3 linked regions of the Macaca fascicularis genome follow. The protein of the gene in region 2 interacts with the protein of the main gene of each other region in a biochemical or structural test. Links are inferred from orthologs where the notes say so. Each region holds a gene or a part of one and is shown on either strand. Other genes may lie near its edges. The genes, in order: EPN1, REPS2 and GRB2.

The links.
Region 1: the proteins of REPS2 (region 2) and EPN1 form a complex in vitro, tested with the Homo sapiens proteins (3 studies listed by BioGRID and IntAct, with this or other methods). The link is inferred for Macaca fascicularis from reciprocal best matches to the Homo sapiens genes REPS2 and EPN1.
Region 3: the proteins of REPS2 (region 2) and GRB2 form a complex in vitro, tested with the Homo sapiens proteins (2 studies listed by BioGRID and IntAct, with this or other methods). The link is inferred for Macaca fascicularis from reciprocal best matches to the Homo sapiens genes REPS2 and GRB2.

What each region holds. Positions count from the first base shown.
Region 1 is NC_088393.1:63,633,617-63,637,260, reverse strand, and holds part of EPN1 (epsin-1), read right to left. Parts: intron 3,303-3,644; 5' UTR 3,181-3,302; coding exon 2,953-3,180; intron 1-2,952. UniProt on the Homo sapiens protein: Binds to membranes enriched in phosphatidylinositol 4,5-bisphosphate (PtdIns(4,5)P2). Modifies membrane curvature and facilitates the formation of clathrin-coated invaginations. Regulates receptor-mediated endocytosis.
Region 2 is NC_088395.1:16,756,056-16,760,357, forward strand, and holds the start of REPS2 (ralBP1-associated Eps domain-containing protein 2), read left to right. Parts: upstream 1-1,367; 5' UTR 1,368-1,481; coding exon 1,482-1,730; intron 1,731-4,302. UniProt on the Homo sapiens protein: Involved in ligand-dependent receptor mediated endocytosis of the EGF and insulin receptors as part of the Ral signaling pathway. By controlling growth factor receptors endocytosis may regulate cell survival.
Region 3 is NC_088390.1:81,722,595-81,726,238, forward strand, and holds part of GRB2 (growth factor receptor-bound protein 2), read right to left. Parts: intron 2,871-3,644; coding exon 2,702-2,870; intron 1,599-2,701; coding exon 1,413-1,598; 3' UTR 1-1,412. UniProt on the Homo sapiens protein: Non-enzymatic adapter protein that plays a pivotal role in precisely regulated signaling cascades from cell surface receptors to cellular responses, including signaling transduction and gene expression.

The sequences.
Region 1 (3,644 bases), on a different chromosome or scaffold from region 2:
TCACCTGTGCTTCCAGAAGGGGACTGCGGGATAGAAGTGGTCATCCAAGAGGGGAGGCGCTGGCTAGACGTGGACGCAGGGACCCCTCCTGGACCCCTGCCCTGTGCCTATGCTCAGCTATCAGCACATGCCACAGCAGGGACAACAGTGACACGTGCTGACCTCACAAAGCTGCTCTCAGGACAGCGTCCAGCAGGCAGCACAAGCGGCAACCAAAGCAGGTTTCCACAGACACCATCAACCCTCCCCGGGGGTACTGAGGCTGAACCCCACCCTCAGTGTGAGGAATCAGCAGTTCAGGGTGGAGCAGGAACCCCACGTCCTCAGCCACATGGGCTGGGGATCCCCAAGCTCAAAGAGAAAGGCCGGCGCCCAGACTCTGCTGTGGGGAGCATAGAAAGGACAGTCTCAAGAATCAAGAGATGCTGTGAGGATGGTGAACACAGCAAGAACAGCCAGGCCTGGGGAGGGTGTCAGAGGGGCTACGAAAACCACAGGGGAGGTCTTGAGGGTGACAAAAACCTATGCCTTGGCTGTGATGACAGTTATGAAACACGTGCATCTGTCAGAACCCAGAAAACTCTATCTTGAAAGGCTGGGTTTTACTGTGTGCAAATTATACCTCAGTAAACCCACCTTTACAAAGTTATTAGAAAGAACCAGGCAAGAAAGGCTGGGTAAGACCTGTGACTGGCTGGCTGCCTCCTCCAGGAAGTCTGCCCTGACTGCCTGAGGCCCGCAGAGCCTTGTGCTGTGTTCCCTCCTTCATGGCACCCGCCAGCCTATCGGCTCAACTCCCACCGACCTGGGAGCTGCCTGAGGGTGGGGGTCGGGTTTGATCAGGGCTGGGTCCCCAGCACCGTCCAGCAAGAGGCTGCCCACAGGTAACCAACCTCAGGACAAAAGTGCGGCATGCACAAAAACAATCAAGTTGCTTCTCCATGGAGGCTCTCCCACCTCCTGTAGGAAGCACCCCAAGCCCCGGCCTGGCACTGAAGGCCATATCCCTCTCCTGCCCTGCCCTGCCGTCCACCCCGGCCACCAGCACCGCATGCTCCCTAGCAGACTCTCAGGCCTTGGCACCTGCCAGCCCTGCCCACAGGCCACTCTGTCTCTGCCCCCAGCAGCATCACTCTGGCCACTAGCCAGGAAGGATCCGCGTCTAGGGCCCCTCTGGATTCATCACCTCTGCACACCCACCCCTCCAGCCCCACCTGCCCCTCCAGCCCCGCCCCTCCTCCTTGCCTCCACAGAGGCTCCCCTGCACCCCCAGGCTTTTCCAAGATCCTCAACTAAACAAACGCCTCCCAGCCCTTCACAATAAATGACCAATAACTGATTCAACCTATGACTCAACCCAATCTTGGTGTGTCGGGCTGGGCATGAAAACCAGTCACAGGAAATAGGCCTCAGCCCCTGCTCCCACGTGGAAGTGGTGCAGCGCTCCCAGCCTCAGCCTCATCTGTGAGTGGAGGGAACTGCCCTCACCTGGGCAGAAGTCTCCAAAATCAGCAAGGACAGGGACCTCGCCCAGAAAAGGCCCAGGTTTAAGTGCACGAGGGTGGAGGCTTGCAGGTCTGGTGCACCAAGACACCCAGAGCGGGCCCTCTGCAGATGCTTGCCAATGGACCGCAACAGCAGCTGTCTAACATTCACCAGCCCCTAACCCGAGTCAGACGTGAATCAACTCCATGGGCCCTCACAGAGGGAGATTCAGGGATGAGCCCGAGATCCCACCACCGGGAGAGTAACCCGGCCCAGCCCACGTCCTTGGCCGCTTTGCCGTAACACGAGGAACACAGTAACCAAAGACCAAAGGTGGGGATGCTAAGGCCCCTGGACCCCACGAACAGCAAACTGAAAACCCACTCGCTGAGTCCTGCTCACAGGTGCGAGCCCTTTGACCCAAAACCTGCGATCTGCGTGTGTGGTCAGTGGATCAGGGCCAGCAACTAGGCCACATCCATGGAGGGCACTTTGGCCACATTTGCCAAAATTACACATGCACGAGCCTCTTGACTCGGCAACTCCAGTTCTAGAAAACAGCAAAGGTACAAGGATATTCACGGCAATCTCATTCTTAAAACACTGCAAAACCCTTTTCAAAAAAATCCATCAACAAGTCACTAGTTAAATAAATTATGACCAATCCATAGAGTTGAAAGTTCTGCAGTTGTAAAAGAAAAAAAAAAGCAGCAAATCTTTTACATCCCGATAGGCAATGTAAAGATAAAATCTCCTTTTCCTTTTTTAAATTGGGGTCTAATATACATATGGTAAGACTCGCTCATTTTAACATCAGTCTGAGTTCTGACAAATGCACAGGACATGAAGCCACCACGGCACTCAAGGCACAGAACAGTCCCGCTGCCCCCGAAATGTCCTTGTGCTGCCCTCTGTAGGTGACCCCTCCCGTCCAACTCCCGGCGAGCACCAACCTGCCCTCTGCATTCCATCCCTATGGTCCCGTCTCTCCCACTGTCGGACTGATGCCAGCAAACAGTATGCAGGCTTTTGAGTCTGACAAGCAGTGTGAGAACACGACACTGTTCCAGTGTTCATCCCCAGCGTGGCATCGCCTGTGCCACGGGGAGCACACACCTGCCTGAGGGGCGTTCACAGACGGGGCCCAGAGCAGAAACTTGGCTGCTGTGAGGAAAGGAACTGGGTATCTGGGCACACAGAAGAGATGGGCACTGTGGGCCCTTTCGGGCCTCCTGAGCATATGAATCTTACGAATGCACCACTCACTCAAAAAACAGATTTTAACCACTAGGCTCCAAACTTCTTAGCCTTACATTCGTTGCCTTCATTAAACAAAAAGAGAGATTTTACTCTTCTACAGCTCCTCTTGAGAACCGGGATGCCATCCCAGGCAGGGTGCACAACACGGGCTCCTGCCCTCCCGCCTGAGCCCCTGCACCTGCCTGGGGAGGAGAGCGGGACGCTGACCTTGTAGACGTGCCGCCAGTTCTTGCCATGGTCATTGAGCCGCTTCCAGATCATGCTCATGATCTCCGAGAAGGCGACGACGTTGTAGGTGAGGTCAGCAATCTCTGACATGAGGGAGCTGGACGGACCCCAGGGGTCATTGCTCGTGGCCTCTCGAACCTTGATCTCCGCCTCTGAGTAGTTGTGGACAATGTTCTTCATCTGGCGCCTCAAGGACGAGGTCGACATGGTGCCCGGCTGCAGCAGCAAGGGGCACAGGGCCCCTGATGCGTGGAGAGACGGGGTGACTCCTGGACGAAGGCTGCAGCAGGCGCTGGCAGGTCACCGCATCTGAGAAGGGAACAGGACCTCTGGAAACACAAGTGGGACATGGGTTGCCCAGAGCCCTCAGGGTCAAAGATGAGTTCCTAACTGTGGCCCAGAAGGCTCTGTCCCTTGTTAACCTCTAGGTCTCAAAGTAACCCCATCCATGTTTCAGTTCCTCAAACAGGCTGCCTCCTTCCTGCTGGGGCCCCTGCTCAGTGAGGCAGAGTATATGCAGTGGCACATCGCAGCCCCACACCCTGGCTCAGCTAGTTCCTGGCCAGGCCACAGTGGGTGGGCTGCCATCTCCTGCACCTCAGCTTTGCTTTCTCTTCCGTCAAATGGGGCTCCATGCAGTCATCTAGGGAACTGACGCCCTGTAAACACTG
Region 2 (4,302 bases):
TACGGGCATGAGCCACCGCACCCGGCCTGGACTTTCTTTTAAAAGTGGCTAGAGGGCTCAAGTGGCTCAAGCCTGTAATCCCAGCACTTTGGGAGGCCGAGGTGGGGGGTGTGTGGATCACCTGAGGTCAGGAGTTCGAGACCAGCCTAACAAACATGGTGAAACCCCGTCTCTACTAAAAATACAAAAACTAGCCAGTCATGGTGGCAGGCACCTGTAATTCCAGCTACTCGGGAGGCTGAGACAGAATAATTGCTTGAACCCGGGAGGTGGAGGTTGCAGTGAGCCAAGACTGTGCCATTGAACTATAGCCTGGGCAACAAGACTGAAACTCCATCTCAAAAAAAAAAAAAAAAAAGGCTAGAGTACTAGCCAGGGGGAAGCAAGCACATTTGAAAAATACAGTGTGTATGCTTTAGGATAGGGAGGAATGGAGAGAGAGGAGGACATGGACAGGGATGGAAAGATGTGGGTTCTCGCATTGATTTTTGGCGTGAGCTTGAAAAAGTTTTGTACTTAAAAAAAAATTCCTGTTTTACTACCAAAATAAGTGCTTCCTGTGGAGAGTGAGGATCCTCTGTTACTGAGGTTTGTATTTTCAGGCCCTAGCATATAAATCTGCTACATACGAGATATTCAACTAGTTTTGAAGGAATGAAGGTGAACATGGCAGTTTCCTCATATGTAAAAGCAGGATTTGGACAAAATGATCTGCAAAATGGGTCTTTTACTACTCTAGTATTTACGAGTAACCGATGTTATTCCTTATGAAGTCTCAACTCCTGGTTTGAGCCATGTCTGAAGAGGTGGCCTAACTCCAATACCCACTGAACAGTTTGGCGTCAGTGGGACCCTGTTTGTACAGACGTCTGTGTCTTCCAGCTGTTTAGGACATAAGCACTACTGCTATGGAAGAAAGGAAACCTAATTTCCCATGCCTTGTCCGTTTTCTGGAAAGGGCATGGCGTGGTGTGGGCACCACACTTGCCCCAGCCTTCTGGCGAAAAAACACCACGACCTTCCCCGCTCCCCGAAAAGAGCTTTTCTCCAGTTGGGTCTAGATGCGCCCTTCCCAACCAGGGCGGATGGCCAAAGACTCCGCTCCCTTGCAGGGTAGGCTTGGAAAGGCACGGGGCTCGCCTTCCTGGGCAGCGGAGCAGGTGACGCGCGGAGGGCAGGCAGCGCGCTGGGTTAGTTACCTGGCGCTGGGCGGGGCAGGCGGGAGGCGGGGGCGGGGCCGCGGTGAGATATCAGGCTGTGATTGGGCCGCTCCGCGCCTGTCTCCATGTGCCGCGCAGCTGAGGCACAACATTCAAGCCCGGGGGCGGGGCCGGCGCGCGCCGGGAGGAAGCGGCCGCGCGGCAGCTGCGGGGCGTGGGGGTGGCGGCGGCGTCGGCTGAGGCCGAGGAGCCGGTGGCTGTGGCGGACGCAGCGGCACCCCAGCTAGGGACAGGGCTCCGCCGCGCCCCCTTGCTGGTCCCATGGAGGCGGCAGCGGCGGCGGCGGCGGGTGGGGGCTGTGGCTCCGGGCCGCCACCGCTGCTGCTGAGCGAGGGCGAGCAGCAGTGCTACTCCGAGCTCTTCGCGCGCTGTGCCGGCGCCGCGGGCGGGGGCCCCGGGTCTGGGCCTCCCGAGGCCGCCAGAGTCGCCCCCGGCACGGCCACTGCAGCCGCCGGCCCAGTGGCTGACCTGTTTCGGGCGTCGCAGCTGCCAGCCGAGACGCTGCACCAGGTGGGTCCCTCCGCCTCTTGTCCCTGCGGGTCTGTGGGGCAGTGTCTGCGGGGGCGGAGGTTGCGAGTGGGGCGACAGGGCTGCCCCCAGGGACCCGGAGGCCTCGGCCAGTTGTCAGAGAACTCTGCAGCCGGGGATAGCGGCGACGCCCTTGTACCCGGGGGACACCAGCCTCCTCCGCAGCTCAGCTCCTCGCCCAGTCAGTGCTGGGTGCGCGCTCCCCATCTTCCTTCCCTGAGACTGTCTGACATTCCCTCCCCTCCCCCGGCCATTTCTGGGGTTCTGCAGCCGCCCAGACCCAAAGTTTGCCCTGTTCTGGAAGTGGTGTTTGTTTTGGCTGCTGCCTGGTTTAACCTCTGCTCGCTGCTCCTGCCCCTCCCTCTCCTGAGTGGGCTGTCAGGGTGCCTTGCTGGGATTTGAACCTGAGGGGTGTGTGTGTCTGTAGGGTTGGAGGCCCAGGGCTGAATGTTGTCCTCTGTATGTAGTTGTGATATATACGTATCTACAATATGTAATTGCCCATAACATATTTCTAAATATTAATATTAAATCAAAAACCTTAATGACAAGTTGCAGAACAGGGACACGGGACTGCAAGAGGACGTTTGTCAAGTCAAAACCAAATTTCCCATTTGAGGCTAGAGGTGGACTTCAGAAGTCCACCATGGGAAACAGCTGTAGTTTCCCATCTATCATTACTTGGACTTGAAATAGAATTGAAAGGTAAGGGGTGTCATAGCTACCACCTTTTGACTGTTCTATACTTGGAAAAGGACTAGGGGATGATACATACCAGACGCTGTGTTTGTTTTGTGCTTTCCTTGGAGCTTGGAGAAAGACTAATTGATAAGCCTTTGTCTGTCATTTCATGTCACCAGCACTTCATGGTGATAAGATTGTTAATATCAGGTTCAAAACGTCAAATGAAGCTTTCCTTAAAAGCAATAGTATGAATGTTATTAACACCAATGGAATATTTAGAGTGGTGAGTGGTATTTTAAAATCTAGTTTCAAAGGAGAACTGAGGGTTTTATGGTTCACTTGCAATGTCATTGTGTTCATACGTATTTTTAAAGAAATTACTTAAGACTGCGTTTTATATTGCTAGAGTGTTTGTACTGCCCTGTGTTTGTGAGCGTAACTTTAAACACTTTGTAATCTTTCACCCTTTTGAATTTGGGATTTCTGAAAATATAATTAGTATTCACAGAACTTAGCATGGCTGTTTGTCCCTAAAAAAGTCCTTGATATACAGACAGTTCTGCCATTGCTGACGAGTAGTTGAGCTGGATCAGGTAAAGAGAAAATCAGTGTCTTAAAACACAAACCATGACTATTACTTGAGGCCCTCAGAATACTCCCGAGCATAACACATTTATTCAATGCTGTAACTGCTTCCCAGCTGAAAGAGGAATAATTGACTGAGGCTATGCAGCAAGTAAGTGACAGCTGGGTACCTATTAAGGCTTATTTTGTTGTCAGTAATGCATCGGATAAGAGGAGGTGGGCATAGTAAATCTGAATATGTTGGTCGATGCCTCCTTAGGAACTGGGAAGAAGGATTTCCTGATGTTAGAACCCATGCTTTCTTGAGGTACATATGGTTTTAAAAGGACCCAAGGCACAGTGCCTGTGCGTGAATGAGATTATATTTTTGATGTCCAGTTGAAATCTGCTTGCAAAAGACTGCTTCAGATACTGGCCAAAGGGGACATCCCTACAGTATTGCTTGGAGTAAATCTCTCAGAGCTTGAAGCTCCCTTATTCAGCCTAGCAAAGCAAAACACATCATCCCCCTTCAATCCAACAAAATTACCATAACTCATTATTCTTGGTACAGGTGAAAATGAACACTGAAGGCATCCCGGACATGTAATCCTAAGAGAGTCAAACAAAGTCAGCAACCAGCAGACCCCTAATTTTCACCCATCACTTTGGTGGTGGTGGTGGTGTGTGTATGCTCCATCCACTTTAATTTGTATTACCCCATCGGTGTATTAGCCATTCTTTAAAACAAACATAGATGTTTTTATCCTTTCCCTGTTAAACAGGAACCTGTAAGTTGAGATTTAAGTGCCCCGACAGGTATAACTGCTCAAATCTTGGAGGCACTAACCAGCCCTGGTATTTTCTATGGTAACAACCAGGTTTTCCTCTTAATAAGCGTACAATTAAGATTACCATAATAATGTTCCAGGAAGAATGAGAATCTTGCAGTCTTACCACAAGTAAATGGTCTATAAAAATATTTATTTATTATTTATTTATTTTTTGAGATGGAGTCTCATTCTTTTGCCCAGGCTGGAGTGCGGTGATGTGATCTCAGCTCACTGCAACCTCCGCCTCCCCGGTTCAAGCGATTCTTCTGCCTCAGCCTCCCGAGTAGCTGGGACTACAGGCGCATGCCACCACGCCTGGCTAATTTTTACATTTTTGGTAGAGACAGCCGTTTGCCGTGTTGGCCAGGCTAGTCTCGAACTCCTGACTTCAGGTGATCCATCCACCTTGACCTCCCAAAGTACTGTGATTACAGGCGTGAGCCATCGTGTCCGGCCTTAACATATTTTTTAAT
Region 3 (3,644 bases), on a different chromosome or scaffold from region 2:
AACCCCTGAGACAGTGAGGACAGGCTTCCAACCCCCTGTAAGCCAGATCCAGTGGGATGTGGGAGAGCTGGGTGGTCACCTTCCCTCTTGCCCCGGTGGCCCGTCACACTCACACTGCAACCTGGACAAGCAGTTCCCTGAACCCCCAAGGGGCTCACACACCTTAAAGCTGGAGCTTAAAGCCTCCTGGCTTAGTACAAGCAGGAGAATGCTTCACCTTGTACTCCTGCTTGTCTCCCTTGCTCTACCCTGCCCCAAGGGAAAAATATTTACACAGAGTAGGAGACAAATTGGCTGAAAAGCTCTGGACTGTCTTTAACTTATTTTAAAACAAAACAAATTAAAAACAAAAACAAAAACAAAAAACACCACCACTCAGAAGCAACCCTCGAAATAAGGAAAAAGGCACTATGAAAAAACAACATGCTCGATAATCCCACTGGAAGGGCCAACAAAGTGGAAAGAGACAGGCTGTTGGGAGGGCTTTTTTTTTTTTTTTTTGAGATGGAGCCTCGCTCTGTCACCCAGGCTGGAGTACAATGGCATGGTCTCGGCTCACTGCAACCTCCACCTCCCAGGTTCAAGTGATTCTCCTGCCTCAGGCTCCCGAGTAGCTGGGATTACAGGCGCATGCCACCACACCCAGCTAATTTTTGTATTTTTAGTACAGACAGGGTTTTGCCATGTTGGCTAGGTTGGTCTCGAACTCCTGACTTTGTGATCCACCCACCTTGGCCTCCCAAAGTGCTGGGATTACAGGCGTGAGCCACCACGCTGCCCGGCCCAGGCAGGCTTTCTAGGGAAGCCATGGAGGCAGCGACATGCTTTCCTTCTACCCCACTCTACTGCCAACTTGGACAAAATACACTGGGGGTCTGGGCTGGAAGGCAGATTCCTACAAGCCCCCTCCTCTGGAGGAAGTTAAACAGCAAAGGTGTCGAGCTGCCCTGCCCGCTCCTTTTTGTGTGTATATACGAAGAACACAGAAAGAGTGGTTCTTCTTTCAGTCATTCCAACTAAAACAGACATTTTGCATAGAGAGAATACCAGCCCACTTGGTTTCTTGTCTTTTATTATTGGCGTCAGCTAGGACTATACGTGGCCTTAAACGTCATGCACTGATGGACAGAAGAGAAAAAAGGATGAAAAAAAGGGCAAAGGAGGGGAAAGAGGAGCAGCAGTGAAAATTTGTAATAAAAACTCTTCTTAATTTATAGGTAAGTTTTGGCATTTTTAAATCCAACACCCCCTCCCACCCCCTAAAGTTCCAACCAAAGTGAGAGGGTCACAGGGTGACCCGGCCAGGTGTTCTGCACTCCCTCACAGGCTGCTGTTAGTGGCAGCTTGTGGGTTTAATTCTTTTGTATGTGTTTTACATTTTTCACTTTCTTTAAATAATTGCTTCTTGATTCTTAGACGTTCCGGTTCACGGGGGTGACGTAATTGCGGGGAAACATGCCGGTCTGCCCGTGGCAAGCTCCTTTCCACCAGTTGGGGTCTGAGTTATCCATGACATGGATAAAATCTCCCCGGCGGAAGCCCAGCTCTCCATCCTCCTGAGGATCAAAGTCAAAGAGGGCCTGGACGTATGTCGGCTGCTGCAAAACAGGAGCAGGAAAAACCCATATTGCATTCCTGGTCTGTGGCCGGCCACCTCCGAGGCCAGACGGGTTCCAGGGGGAAACGAATGCGTGCCAAATTCTCCATGTTTTCTAAACTCACCTCCCATCTCCCAACCCCCCATTTATTCTTACCTCTTCTAAGTTTACAGGCCAAGCGGGTTTAGTGTGATCTTTCCCAGTGCTCAGAAAATGCTAGAGTATGTCTCCCAGAGGAGGGTGGCCAACTGTGCCATATTATCAAGTAGAGGGCAGGCAGTGCTTGGAGGGGAAAGTTCTTCAGAAACAGCCGTCTGTGTTTAGGCTGTGGGCCCAGAATCTGCAAATCCCTTCTACCACACCCTTAAGATATTAGAGCCTAAAATTCTGGAGCTCGCATAACATAAGGGACTCTAACTGTAACTTATGACCAGGGCTCGAGGGACAGGAACGGTGCCGACCTCACTCCCTCACAAGCATAGTTTTCCTCATAATTTGCCTCCAGGGACAGGATCTTTGGGTGGGTGTGTTAAAGACCATCTCCCTAGAGAGACTGGCAAGCTGGCTACACACTGCCTCTGGAAAAGCAAAAATCCTATATTTAAAACAACAAATCTTTCTTTTTCTTTTTCTTTTTTTTTTTGAGATGGAGTCTCCCTCTGTCACCCAGGTTGGAGTGCGGTGGTACAATCTCAGCTCACTGTGACCTCCACCTCCTGGGTTCAAGCGATTTTTCCATCTCAGCTTCCCAAGCGCAGGTGGGCGCCACCACATCTGGCTAATTTCTGTATTTTTAGTAGAGACAGGGTTTCACCATGTTGGCCAGGCTGGTCTCAAGCTCCTGACCTCAAGTGATCTGCCTGCCTCAGCCTCCCAAAGTGCTGGGATTACTGGCATGAGCTACTACGCTGGGCCAGAAACAAGAAATTTTTAGTGTGAATGGAAGGTAACGTGTTCAGTAACGAGCACAGAAGCCCCAGTGGCAATCCCTGAAGGGCGCCTGCATGTTGATTGAGGGTCACCTCCCCCTTCCCACAGGAATGCACACTGAGGAGCTATTCTTAATTTCTAAAATGATCCCATCTCACCCTGATGAGGCTTACCTGTGGCACCTGTTCTATGTCCCGCAGGAATATCTGCTGGTTTCTGGAGACAGATGTAGATCTGTGATAATCCACCAGCTCATTCAAAGAATTGAACTTCACCACCCAGAGGAAGTACTTGCCGGCTCCGTCTCGGAGCACCTTGAAGTGCTGCACATCGTTTCCAAACCTGGGAGGGACAGAGAGCACATGGACCGGCTAAAGGCTCTAACCTGGCAAATCGAAGGCTATCTGCCCATATAAGCGATATCCTGAGAGAACCACTGTCCCGGCAGCACTCCTCAGGGACTGCAGAGTAACAAGCTTCCTCACTGCGTGTCCCTGGAACAGACCCCTCCCTATGACTGATGGGCACCAGGACAACATGAAGAAACCAAACAGGGACAGGCCATCAGTCACTCTCATTCTGAAGATGTTTGTAAGATAAAGAGTCCAGGCTGGGCACGGTGGCTCACACCTGTAATCCCAACACTTTGGAGGCCAAGGCGGGCAGATCACTTGAGGTTGGGATTTCGAGACCAGCCTGATCAACATGGAGAAACCCCATCTCTACTAAAAATACAAAAGTAGCTGGGCGTGGTGGTGCATGCCTGTAATCCCGGCTACTCGGGACACCAAGGCAGGAGAATCACTTGAACCCAGGAGGCGGAGGTTGCAGTGAGCTGAGATTGCGCCACTGCACTCCAGCCTGGGTAACAAGAGTGAAACTCTGTCTCAAAAAAAAAGAAAAAAACAGTCCATGTGCCCTGAACCCTAACAAATAAAACAGCCTTACTTAAGACAAAGAAGTGTGACTTAACTTCCTTTGAATAAAAAAATAATTAAAATGTTATATGCAGGAAGAAGGTGAGGAGGGCTGGAAATACTTTCAACAATTCTCTCGTAACTGCGAATAGTTCCAAGTCATGTTTTCCATTCAGGAATTTTAGATCCACTCACGGGG